Arabidopsis thaliana: one gene and its partner. The protein of the gene in region 2 purifies or fractionates together with the protein of the main gene of each other region. This does not show direct contact. Each region holds a gene or a part of one and is shown on either strand. Other genes may lie near its edges.

Evidence for each region.
Region 1: the proteins of VIM1 (region 2) and HTR12 purify together in Arabidopsis thaliana (affinity purification with western blotting, with the first as the bait; one study listed by BioGRID). This does not show direct contact.

Annotation. Positions count from the first base shown.
Region 1 is NC_003070.9:141,474-147,223, reverse strand, and holds HTR12 (Histone superfamily protein), read right to left. Parts: upstream 3,736-5,750; 5' UTR 3,548-3,735; exon of another isoform or gene 3,461-3,547; 5' UTR 3,452-3,460; coding exon 3,400-3,451; intron 3,291-3,399; coding exon 3,247-3,290; intron 3,161-3,246; coding exon 3,115-3,160; intron 3,032-3,114; coding exon 2,997-3,031; intron 2,910-2,996; coding exon 2,873-2,909; intron 2,778-2,872; coding exon 2,665-2,777; intron 2,298-2,664; coding exon 2,220-2,297; intron 2,093-2,219; coding exon 2,017-2,092; intron 1,880-2,016; coding exon 1,824-1,879; 3' UTR 1,789-1,823; exon of another isoform or gene 1,182-1,788; intron 1,061-1,181; 3' UTR 745-1,060; downstream 1-744. Other genes in the region: RCAR1 (regulatory component of ABA receptor 1), read right to left, coding at 4,310-4,513, 4,585-4,800, 4,943-5,086. UniProt on the Arabidopsis thaliana protein: Histone H3-like variant which exclusively replaces conventional H3 in the nucleosome core of centromeric chromatin at the inner plate of the kinetochore.
Region 2 is NC_003070.9:21,413,300-21,419,829, forward strand, and holds VIM1 (Zinc finger (C3HC4-type RING finger) family protein), read right to left. Parts: upstream 4,817-6,530; 5' UTR 4,604-4,816; coding exon 4,130-4,603; intron 3,605-4,129; coding exon 3,075-3,604; intron 2,846-3,074; coding exon 2,720-2,845; intron 2,596-2,719; coding exon 2,496-2,595; intron 2,424-2,495; coding exon 2,359-2,423; intron 2,280-2,358; coding exon 2,177-2,279; intron 2,104-2,176; coding exon 1,959-2,103; intron 1,712-1,958; coding exon 1,497-1,711; intron 1,223-1,496; coding exon 1,043-1,222; 3' UTR 823-1,042; exon of another isoform or gene 775-822; intron 744-774; 3' UTR 682-743; downstream 1-681. UniProt on the Arabidopsis thaliana protein: E3 ubiquitin-protein ligase. Participates in CpG methylation-dependent transcriptional regulation and epigenetic transcriptional silencing. Mediates ubiquitination with the E2 ubiquitin-conjugating enzyme UBC11.

The DNA of each region.
Region 1 (5,750 bases), about 21 Mb from region 2:
GCAATATTATCAATCAATACGGTTTGGTACGGTTTAAGGTAAAGAGAGAGCAGAGAGGAAGAGAGAATGATGGATTTTTAAGGGAAGAACATGAAGTGTATTCTGTATTTATAAGGGCAAAGTTTAACGACCGGTTTGGTCGGTTTCCACATTAAGGAATCGTGTATGATGTATATCGTACTTTGTTTTCCTTAAATCGGATTTAACTAATATTATTCTTATTAATTAATTTAGCAACTTATGGGTGGCAGCCAATATATGTCAGTATGTGTGCAATGCTCGAGTGATTTCGTTTAAGGACCAATGAGAATCATAAGACATGTTGCATTACATCATTTGCTCCGTCATGTTCTTGTCTAATTGCTTTTTTTAAAATGATACTACTTGATGTTTTATATTTACACGCAGATGAATAAATCATAATTAAGTCGATATAAATCAACTATGTTGAGTACAAATATGTATGAAAAAAAAGAGTCAATATATGTATTCATTTTTCCCAAGAAGAAAAAAAGCATTAGGAGAATCACTTGATTATCATTTATGAAGTCCAATCTATTACAAATCGAATTAAATTTTGTCAATTTAATGAAATATATTGTTAGAACTATCAAAAGTTGAGTTGAAAGTTTGTTAGGGATGAATATAAAATTAATTTAACGTCGAGGATATACCCTTTATTCCTCCATTAATTCACATCGCAAATTTTATTCAAAGCTTCTTTTAAATTTTGTTCGGTTTATTATTATATTTATCTATCAACTTTAAAAAAGAAAAGGTTGATCAGCAACGTACTGAACAAACTATGCAGTTGCAACTGAACATGACACGTGGATTTTATATTTCATTTAATTTGTTGGGACCATCGCATGATTCATGACGCCTTCACTTGACCCATCCTCTTTCTTTCTTTTTTTTTATAATACTACAATTTGTTTTTTCTTTCGGTCTACTCTGAATTTTTGCGAATGAATCTGTTGGGAACTTGGGACCATTGTGTTGCATGATTCATGGGCGCATCCAACTTTTGCCATCCTCGTTTCTGTTTAGTTTTTTCGGTCTGCATTCAATTTTTACGAATGTACAGAGAGAGATCATAAAGGATGTAAAAAACAAAACAAAAGAGACTATAGAGAACCCAAGAAAAAGAGGCAACTTAAAAGAGTTGACAATGAAATAAATATCACCAAATTCGAAATTCGAGCTTTTCGAAAATTTATAGTGTTTTTTTTAGTGACAACACTATGATATCACAAATGTTTTATGCGAATTATCACTAAAAATCAATATGAATTATTTAAATTTGAAGTGCTAAGGATATCTCAACCTTTTTAATATGCCTTGACAAGTTGTAATTGGGAATCCACTCGTCACTCGTCTGAGAGATATTTCTACTAAAGCCCTCCCAAAACACATGTTCTTTCAAATCTTCCTCTTACTTTTTTTTTCTTCTTTCAATCACAACCCTTTCTAACTGAGGCTTCAAATTATATATACATGAACCTTTGGAAGTTAGAACTTAACGAAAGAAACGTTTTTGTCAAGTGGAATCTCAATGGAAAACAATCAGATCCAACGAAAAGCAGATAGAAACACACATAGAGAAAGAAGTTTTACAGCCTAGATATTGGAATCAAACCAAATTCGGGTTTCCAGTTATGTTTCAAAAGAAGGTTTTGGTCAGATCATTTAGTAAAATAAAAGGACATGCATCACCAAGAGACAAGGAGAGAATAACCTTATACAACCTACGACACACTTGTTGTTAACTATTCGATCCTCACTTACAATGTAAGAGATGTGAATAGTGAGTGAGTTTTCTATCACCATGGTCTGCCTTTTCCTCCAAGCCGGCGTGCAAGTTCAAAGTCTTTTCTCACTGATATGAACAAAAAACAGATATAGATAAGCATTTTATATATGATATTCAAGTAACTAATGATTCAAAGGGATATAAAATGTATGCTTGTGATTCCTAAGTTGAGACTGAAAAATGTCTTCTTTTAGAGTACTTACTTAGAGTAACACGTCTTGCATGGATAGCACAGAGCATTGAATCTGAGAACAAACCAACCAAGTAATCTTCTGCCGCCTACCACAAAGAATTTGTGTGATTAGGTTGATTGGTCATCAAGGGGAATGACATTAGTTGAAATGTGTGACTATCTCTATATCTATATTCATACATTCGTATAAAGAAAAAGTTGAAGGATTGGTACCTCTTGAAGAGCAACAAGAGCTTCAGCTGTCCAACGATTGATTTGGGGAGGGGCCAACATATGGGTTATACTTCTCACCTGGAAAAACAATGTAAAATAGTTTGTTTGTAACACAAATCAGCATTTCCACATCACTGACGATTCATGTTGAGTTTTGTAGCTACAGGAATCATATGGTTCTGAATCTATGAGCTCATAACCTCAAAGACAAACTAGATTACACACTCCTTAAACAAGGAGGGTTGGCCTCACGATTACTCTGAATTTTAGTTAAATTGCTATATCACTCACTATGTACACTGCATTGATGCTCAGATATGTGTGGGGTGTGCAAATCCTAAAACTAGCCACATTAAACACCAAAAGGCTTGTGCCTCTGTTAGTATATATGAATATTGTTAAGCTGTGAAACTTATTATGGCTGGTAAGAAAAAGAGTAACTAACTTCTCTTATGAAACTGGCAGCCGGAATAAGAAGGTTTGTCTGCTTCTGGAAATGGCGAATCTCTTTTAGAGCAACGGTTCCTGGCCTGTATCGATAAGACTTCTTCTGTGAGCCTACAAGGACAACACCGAAGATTAGTTTTAAACACACTAAGTGTCCTGTATTCTCAGGGATATCACAAGAGATTGGTTTTTTTTTTAAAACAAACCTCGTGGCATAGCCTGTCTGGATCTCTTAGCCCCTCTCTTGACAAACCAAAACGAGAATTTTGTCAGCTTAATAACGAAATCAAAGTTGAAGCAGTTCATAAGCAATGGTCACAAAAATCTTACCCTTGTACCAGTAGCTGGTGAAGTTGTAGGATTTGCTGCAGATGTTACAAAAGAATAACTTCACAAACAAAAGAGATGAAAAGAGGGAAAAAAAAGACTTCAAATATAAAAAACTCACTTTGTTGAGTATTATCTCCACCTTCACCGCCTCTCCTTGTCGGGGTCTTCAATTTCGATAGATAAACAAATTTGATCATAACGATAAAAGGAAGAAACATTGGAAACCCTAAGACGGAAAAAGATGCCGTACCGTAGTTGGACCTGCCGCCTGAGAAGATGAAGCACCGGCGGCATCTACAAATTTCAGATTCGAAATCTAGGGTTAACAAAATCGAAATAAAAAACCTAAAATTCTGGGTAAAATCAGAAGTAAAAATTGAAAGAGAAAGCAGATTTAAGATACCAGTTTGATTCCGAGGTTGTGACCTGGTAACGCGATGCTTGGTTCTCGCCATTGATTTTTACTGCTGGAGAAATCGCACCATGAGAGAGAGAGAGGAATCGTAAAATCGGAAAAGAGAATCGACGAAAACTGCGATTATGAAAGTCACCTGCTGAGAAATTTCCCGCTAGATACGAAAAGATTAGAAGATTGGAGCGGAACTTTTACTTTCCCGCTCGACACTCAAATTTTGATTTTAAAATCGAATCTGCTTCACAATTTGTTTCAGTCAAGAGTCTCTCTGAACAACTTATTACAATTTGCACTAAACCTGTGGCTTCACATAGAGGGTTCGACTCGATTGTTAGCCTTCTTTAGTTCCTGTTTTACCCCTGGTCTGTATACAATATTACATTCAAATATGTACCTGTTTGTTTAGATGAAAATTGGAAACAGAGGGGAATAGGTTTTGTGTGTTTTACCGTTAAACCTCAATTCAAAATCTTTGTCTCTCTCTCTCTCTCCCAATTTATGCTCATCTTTTCAAGTTAATGAAATTGACACAGTTTTTCAACTTTCTGCCTCAGATTCTTTACAAGTTCTCAGCATCCAATCATAGGTTCTGTTCAATAGAGAAGTGGAATCTGAAGTCTACAGAAACATCTTTTGTGAACTATATATTATACATCATAAACCATTCACATTTACATTGTTTACAAAAATATCTACAAATAACAAACCACCAGGAGATATCTTACATCAAAACTTCACCATTGGGACAATATGTACATCTTTTTAGACTGGTCATTACCGAGGATAGATATCTATATATATATCTAGGCCAAACCAAAAAAATCCTGAAGAATATTGATTATATCACAAACTGGAATTGATACTTCACTTCAATGCCCTTGTTCATTGATTATGTAGTTCACTGAGTAATGTCCTGAGAAGCCAATCTTTCAGAAACATCTGCTAGTGACTTGAGATTACATCTGATAAGTGCTTCAACAAAGTAGCAAGTCTCATCCTTTGTGTTACCTTGAGGAACATCAACTACAAACGATTCAATCACCATCGTTCCTGCTCTTCCCTCGATTATCTCCGGATGAACCGTCAAAATCGACGAGTAATTCTGCAAACAAACAATCAATGAGAATCTGCATATAAACAAACATCAATGAGATTTGATTTCTCTCGCTGTACCTTAAGTCTGTGATCACCACCGATGATTTTGATACCGAGGATGTGTTCTTCATCATCAAGAAGTTCTAATCTCTCAGTAGATGTTGTTGCAGGAAGACCAGATTTAACATTGACTTCTCTAAGACTGCCGATTTCAGGATCACCGATTACTGTACATCTGCTCACAAACGGTTTGTATTTCTGCGGCTGATCAAATCTCCGTACAAGTGACCAAACCTAAAAAAAATCAATTATAATCAATCGTTAAACAGAGATTTGGGGGAAAAAACCCTAAATCGATGGTTGGGATCAAAATTGACGGATCATGGAGAAAATGGTACGAAAAGGGTGAAATTAGTGGTAGATTGGAGAAGCTTACGAGATGAAGAGGAGCTTTGATGTGTTTGACAAGAGCAGAGGTACACTGGTTTTCTCTGCACAGATGTTGATGATGCGTCCGTACGTATTGCACCGTCTCGAGACCACCGTACATCGCCGTGCCGCCTTCAACGCCGTCCATCATATCTCTCTCTCTCTCTCTCTCTTTCGTTCTTCGTTGTTATCTCACAAGGGAGAATCTCTGGAAATGGATAATAAATACAAGGAAGAAGAAGAAGATGCTTCGTTATGCCAAAACAAAATTACTTGTTTATGTTTTTTGGTTTCTTTTAATGAACCCACCGACATAATAACTTTTTACTTTTGTACCTAAACTCTTTTTTATAGCTTCCTTCTTCTCCTTCACACATTTTCAGCTTTTCAAACCAAACAAAAACACAACAAGATACTAATTTTTTAATGTAACAAAAAAACAAAATATTTAAGCAAGTTTTATTGTATGACGTTTTGGGGACCTATATAATCCGAACAAAACAAAACAGATTGCTTAGATAATTATTTGTTTTGATTAGGTAAGATCGTTTCAAACTTTATAGATAGTTTTGTTAATTTAAATTCAATTTTAGACCATATTCATTATAATAGCTAATTTTTTAGACACAAAATGTCGTTAATATACCAGAAATTTATAAATGAGTGATTCTCCATGTATCAGGTCTCATATGTCTTAGACCACATCTTATTAGATATAGCTCTCGTTGCCTTTAAACCTTGTTGTTAAACATTAATTAATTGTATCAAGCTAAATGTCTAACACCATATCCTATCTGCAAAGTGACTGTTCCATG
Region 2 (6,530 bases):
CTTTTCTCATTGTGCTCAAACGATTTCTAGTGTTCTTGTCTATCAACTTAACAATCCTCTCCGTTGTCGAAGACAGTTCGTCGTGTCTTCTATCATTTCTTTCTTGCCATATGGAGTGAATTGTGTTCTATAGGACATACTTGAGAATGAACCGCTCATTATGTCTAAGTCTTTTCCTGCAACGAGCCTCATAATATCTTGCCATTTTGCCGAGAAGTCATTTAAGAGAATCCCTTGTGTAAGCTCCTCCCAAACCTTGCTTGAAAAGGGACATTGGGAAAATAAATGGTCTCTGGTCTCTATGTGAATTTTGCAAAACACACCGCTCGAGTCTACATTTTGTTTCCATTTACTCATTCGGTCCCCTGTTGCAAGCCTATTTTTCACCATCAGCCATGTAACAAAAGCAAACTTTGGGGTTGCATTTTGAAACCAAACTAAGCTTGTCAACCTCAAACGATCTCTAATCCAATGACCAGGCGGAATCCTCAAATAGAATCATTATCATTTATCAATACAGAAAATTTTGACTGTAACGAAGGAAATGCTATAGTTTCCTTGTGATTGTTTATAAAATGACTGATTTAAATACTTTCTTGTACAGAGATGCTCATAATGTGGTAGTTATGACTTTTCTGTATTTTCATTACTTAAAAAGGGATACAGGAAACTAACCTGCTGCTAAAATGTACATATGATGAACATGTTTTTTGAATTTGCTGATTAAATTAACTCAGTCGAACCTAAATTGAATCTAAATTAGATTAGACAAAATGAAACAACATCCATTCTATACTAAATTGAGAATTCACTGCTTAGTACCTGATGGTATTATCAAAACCAACCTATCCGAGTTATAAACCAGAGACACCAAAATAAGAGAAAAATTGAAAACCTGAGAACCATAGTTTACGTTCCATATTAATAACTTAGTTGTTGTAAGATCCAAAATAACACATCGCAATAGGTACGTTCCACAAATATTGCGTACAAAATAAGGCACTAGAGTTTTTTTTTACTAAAGAGTTCTTTGGTACCAACTTCACCTGATGGTCGCAGAAACTGTTGCGTCAGTGTCCAACTTGATCCTTTTCTTCGGTTGCTCAGAATCTTCTTCAGGGGTGGTGCCTGAGCATTCACCTTCATCTTCATCTTCAAGCTCTGCGGTGTCCTCTTCCTGGGTCTTTAGCTTCTCTATCACCTCCGCTACTTCTCTGTTGACCTGTTTACACACATTTCACCAAAGAGATTATTCCTCAATTTCTGTGATCATAAAAATGGTAACTATCGTATGATCAGATCTGCTAAAGTTTCACTTTCCATGAATGGAAAGCATCAAATAAGTGTATGCTTGCAGATAACGAACTAAAATCAGACATATTACCATTGAACCAACTTCATCTTATTCTAGCAGAGTCAAAATCAATGCTGATGCAATTTGCACTTGTATTCATATGATATGATATGAAAGAAGAAGAAGATAGATGATGTTTCACCTGAGGGTTCTGCAGAAAATCAGATATGTCTGTTGGGCAACAAGGGCAGTTCAGGACATTCTTCCTTGAGCGTAGTGTCCGTCCACCTGTGCTTCTCTCTCTCACAAGAGTTTTCCCAGCAAATTTCGCTTCTAAGCAAGCCTTGCAGAAGTTATGAGCACAGGGTGTTGTCACAGGAAGAGTCAACACTTGCTGACAGATCTGGCACTTAAATTCTGCATCAACAAAATACCAATGACAGTTTAGATGGATTCGGGAATAAAGCTATATAAAGAAAGAGCTGGATATATGTGGTTCATATTAATATTTAGCAGAACCAATTTGGAAACATTGACTTACTGATTCTAAAAGTTCTCATGCAGTCTAGAAATATATACATAATGTACTAGAACTGATTCGGCAAAAAGGGAAAAAAACTATAAACGTTCTAACAGCAGAGGTAGAGAATTTGGACACACTGACCTTTCAGAAGTCTTGCCCTCATGGTATTCGAGTGTGCCGCCTTTATGGCTTTCCTCAAATTTTTCCTCTCCTCAGGAGCCAAAACATTCACTGACTTTTTACTTGCAGGTGGCGGCTTCATCCATTTCCAACAACCCTCACCTTCCTGGTCAAGTAGGCCTATATTATCAGTGGGTCCAGATAAAGAACTGTTAAAACTGAGATGTCTTGGAACTTACATCAAAATCCCATGATGGAGTTTCTTTTCTCTCAAACAGGTCGGTGGCCATATTAAGCTCTGGAATATTAGGGATAGGTCTTGGACGATCTCCATTCTCATCACTGCAAAATATCACATCATTAACTTAAATGGCAACTATATATGGAGAAAAGGCCCACGATTTTAAGAAGTAGACCAAACCTGGTCCATGGAGCTGGCTCATTGTCACATCTAACGAACAGGTAACGACAGACCTTAAAAGAACCCTATGGAAACCAGAAGAATAGGTCAATGCATAAAAAGAACTGTGAAAATTCACATTAATTAGATATGTGTACCTGTACTCCAACTTTGCGCCAGCACTTCTCAATCCTGTAAACCCCATCATATCTCACTCCTTCCTCAGGGGCGTATGCAGAACGCTTCTCCTTGTGAGACCTGATGATCATAAATGGAAAAGGGTAATTGAAGAGTTAGGATCACTAAAGCATGCTCAAAGCTTCAAGTTGAAGAGTAATAAAGACGTTGCATTCAATGGAGTTGTGCTCAAATAACAGCTAACCTGACAACTCGAACAGGATACCCCAATTTGCAGCTGAGTTTTAATGCTGCATTAGACTTCTCAAACTTTTGGTCAAAAGACTGCTCCTTGTTAGTCCTTTTGTTGCCACTGAGATCTCTACCCCCACTGTGTGACACATCCCCACATAATCAGGAGAAAAAGAGACATGTCCATCAGTAAATTGGAGAATAGCTATTTCTATACGCATGAGAGAACTAAAATATACAAAAATATATAAGGAACAATAATAAATCAAGATTATTGATTCGAGACGCATAATAAAGAGTATTGTTTCTATACCCAATCCGTAGAATAAATCAAATGGACCAAAATCTAGGAGTAATGAAAGGCAGACCTTCCTGTGTATAGAAACCATTCTCCATGATCCTCATCATCCTTATAACCTCCAGAGAGTGCTACAGATTGAGCGCCATAAGTAGATTGTCCAGCAATGCCAGCAACATGTGGGAAATGAGCACCCCACTGCCTACACTCGAGTCTGTCCTCCCAGGATTCTCCAACCAAAAGACCTTGGTTCCTGACAGGGTCATTTTCAGCTGGAATAGGACCAAAATGATCTGGTGGTATTGTAACATAAATCTTTCCACTAGCAGCGTTTGCCTTGCCAGTTTTCTTTGCACGCTCGGTTGTAAATGCTTTATCTGGTCGGTCTTGGTTGCTGATGAAATGAAAGACCTTTGAAGTGGTCGCAGCAGCACTTTTAGAGACTTTTGCTAATCGAATGGCAGCAACAAGAGACGAGTTGATACGGGGATTCTTAGCCATTTTTTCAGGAATTATGCTGCGGCATTTACCACAAGTTCTCTTTCCCTGCCCCATCCATTTCTCAAAACATTTTAAGCAAGCGTTGTGCCCACATGGTTTCTGAAAAACAAACACACAAGATTTCCATCAGCCCAAGATAAATAGTCTCCATCTTCATCAATAATCCTTACTTTGAAAAGAGGTACAGTACACACCATATTAAATACTCATAAAAAGCAACGTTTATGGTTTCATAAAATAGATCAACCATCCACATACCAATCCTAACAATTTTCAACAACACAATAGATTACTCAAACTAAATAATCCAACCCAATAACAGGATAACTCAACAACAATGAACTATAAATGTAGGTAACATTGACACATTCTGTCACAAATGGTAAAGATCAATGAAGTCAAAGCCTTTGTAAAACAGTTAAAGGAACCATTTATGATGTCAATAAAGTTTATGCCTTTGTATCACGCAGCTTTAGTGTTCTATGTCACAAGCTCAAATCAGTAAACCAAGTGGATAATAAACAATCACACCCCACTTAAGAAGACACCCTAAATAAGATTCCAGGTTTAACAGATTCACCAAAAGAGATCTATCAACAAAGCATAAGAACAAAGAGAACGAACCGTCACAGGTCTCTCAGGCAACTGCATACAGAAAGAACACATCAAGTTATCTCCAAGAGCAGATAACACATCCAGATTCGGATTCTTCCCTTTCCCCTTCTTCTTCCTCTTCTCTTCTTCATCATCCTCCTCAACACCTTTACCACTCAGTAACCGTTGCCTCATCTTAGCTTTCTCTTCAGTACTCAACGACTCATCAGCCTCAATCGCACGAATCGCAGCTACAAGATCTGACCCAGCAGATTCGAAACCAGTAGCACCGCCGGAAACAGGAAGAGGATCGATTTCGCCGGAGCAATCAGGACAATGCCACTGTAGAGTGGAAGCTAGGGTTTTGGGAGGTGAAGAGAGACAGGACACGTGCCACGGTGTAACGCACGTGCCGCAAGTGAGAGATTCTTCAGGCGGAGGGTTGGATTTGCATCGCATGCATACGCCGTCGCCGTCGCAGGGGAGTTGGATGTCACGCGCCATTTTTGGGGGAAAAAAGATCAGAGAGTGAGAAAATGGTGTTTCCGAGATTTTGAGAGATGGAGAGAGAGGAAGGTTCTAGAGAATTGGGAATAAAAAGAGTGGGAAACGAAATACTGAAGAGGCGGGTGTTTGAAATATTTTGGGAAAGGACGAGAGCGTCTTTGAAATTCAAAACGATACCCAAAAGATTTTTTTGGCTATGTGTTGTCTTGTCACTAGGTTTTTTTTTTTAATATCATCATATCAAGGTCAGAAATATTTTCGGAAATCTGATTATTACATATTTGCCATTGTCGGAATAATATCATTCATTTATTAATTAGGTAATGATTTTTAAAAATTCGGGATTAAAATTGTTCATCTAATTTTATGAAGAATTATTTATTAGTCACTAATTTGATGTTCAACAGAAACTAATATCAACCTTCTTTTTAAAATTTATTATTTTGAAATTGTAAATGGTTTATATCGATTTGCAAAAACTATTTTGATGGTATACAATGTTGCATTACAAGATCTTGGTAAATGGTTCACAACACCGTTTACCAGCAAAATACATATAATATTTTTTTATTTGTTTTTAAAGATTTTAGATAATGAAACATTTCATGTGTTATAAACACGTTATCCGTGATAGCTCTCTTAGTAACAAATGTAGGTAATATACACGGTTATAACGGTTATAACAGTGAATAATGATAACGATAATGGTGACTTGGTAGTGGACATGACTGTGTAATAATATAGGTGATAGCTGTTAGAATAGAATAGAAATACAAGAAAAAAAAAAACACATTAAGAAAAAAAGAAAAAGACAAGAAATCAGATTAAACAAATTCAACATAAATGTACATATATATTAGATTCACAAAATAGAATGATACAAAGTTACAAGTAAAATACAGCTATCTTAAGCACTATTTTACTTGTAATGTCTGACTAATGTCTTGACAAGAGTGCTTAAGTAATATTTCTGGTCCAGTAACCGACGGTAGTAGTGATTGCTGTGTACGGTCAGATGCTGATCATTTGGTAGTTTCCACCATGTTTTCTACCAGTACTTAGAATGATAAAATAATAAACTATGCCGCCAAAACGTATAGAAGAAGAAAGATAACGTGATGGGCAAGTTCTATATTTGGATATGATCGGATCTTATTGGTTTGATGATGCTATTCTCAATTTGATTTTTGTTTTATTTGGACCTTTGGCCTACTTTGAATAATAAATAATATTTATTATAACAGAAGCAAATTTATGACAATAACCCTGCACTTAATTATTCTTATAACTTATTTTTGAAATCAAATTTTACTAGATCGTGCTATGAGTAGCATTTAAAATCAGTATAACAGTACTCGATTTGTAAGAAATTCCTTAGAATATCCCTTGGAGCTGAAGAAATAATCAACATCTTTGTAAGTCAAATATTTATCTCCACACGAGTTTAATTTGTGTTGGCAATTTATGTCTACCACTAATTATGTGATTTTTGTTTGTCCCCTCTTTATGAGACGTGGTGAATAGTGAGCATAATACCTGAAAGTGAACGAGAAACGTCATCAAAAGCGACCAAAATATATAACCAAACGCTCACTTTATTCCTACTGATCAATGTATAACAAAAAAACAAAACCACCACGCTAACTTTTAATTATACTTATATTCATTAATTTTCAATAATTCACTATCTCTAGAAATCGAACCCCAACCTATATATATTGTAAAAGAACTTACACAACTCTTCTAGGTTAGTTTAAAATTCAAATTGATTTGCAATGTAGAATTTTCAACATTAGAGTTTTAGTATGAAGAAGTTTTGAGTACAACTGATTTCGCCTCATTAGTTGATTACAAATCATCATAATAATAACTGACATATCATCATTTAGGTCATATTCTTATTATTTATTCATTAAATACCAAT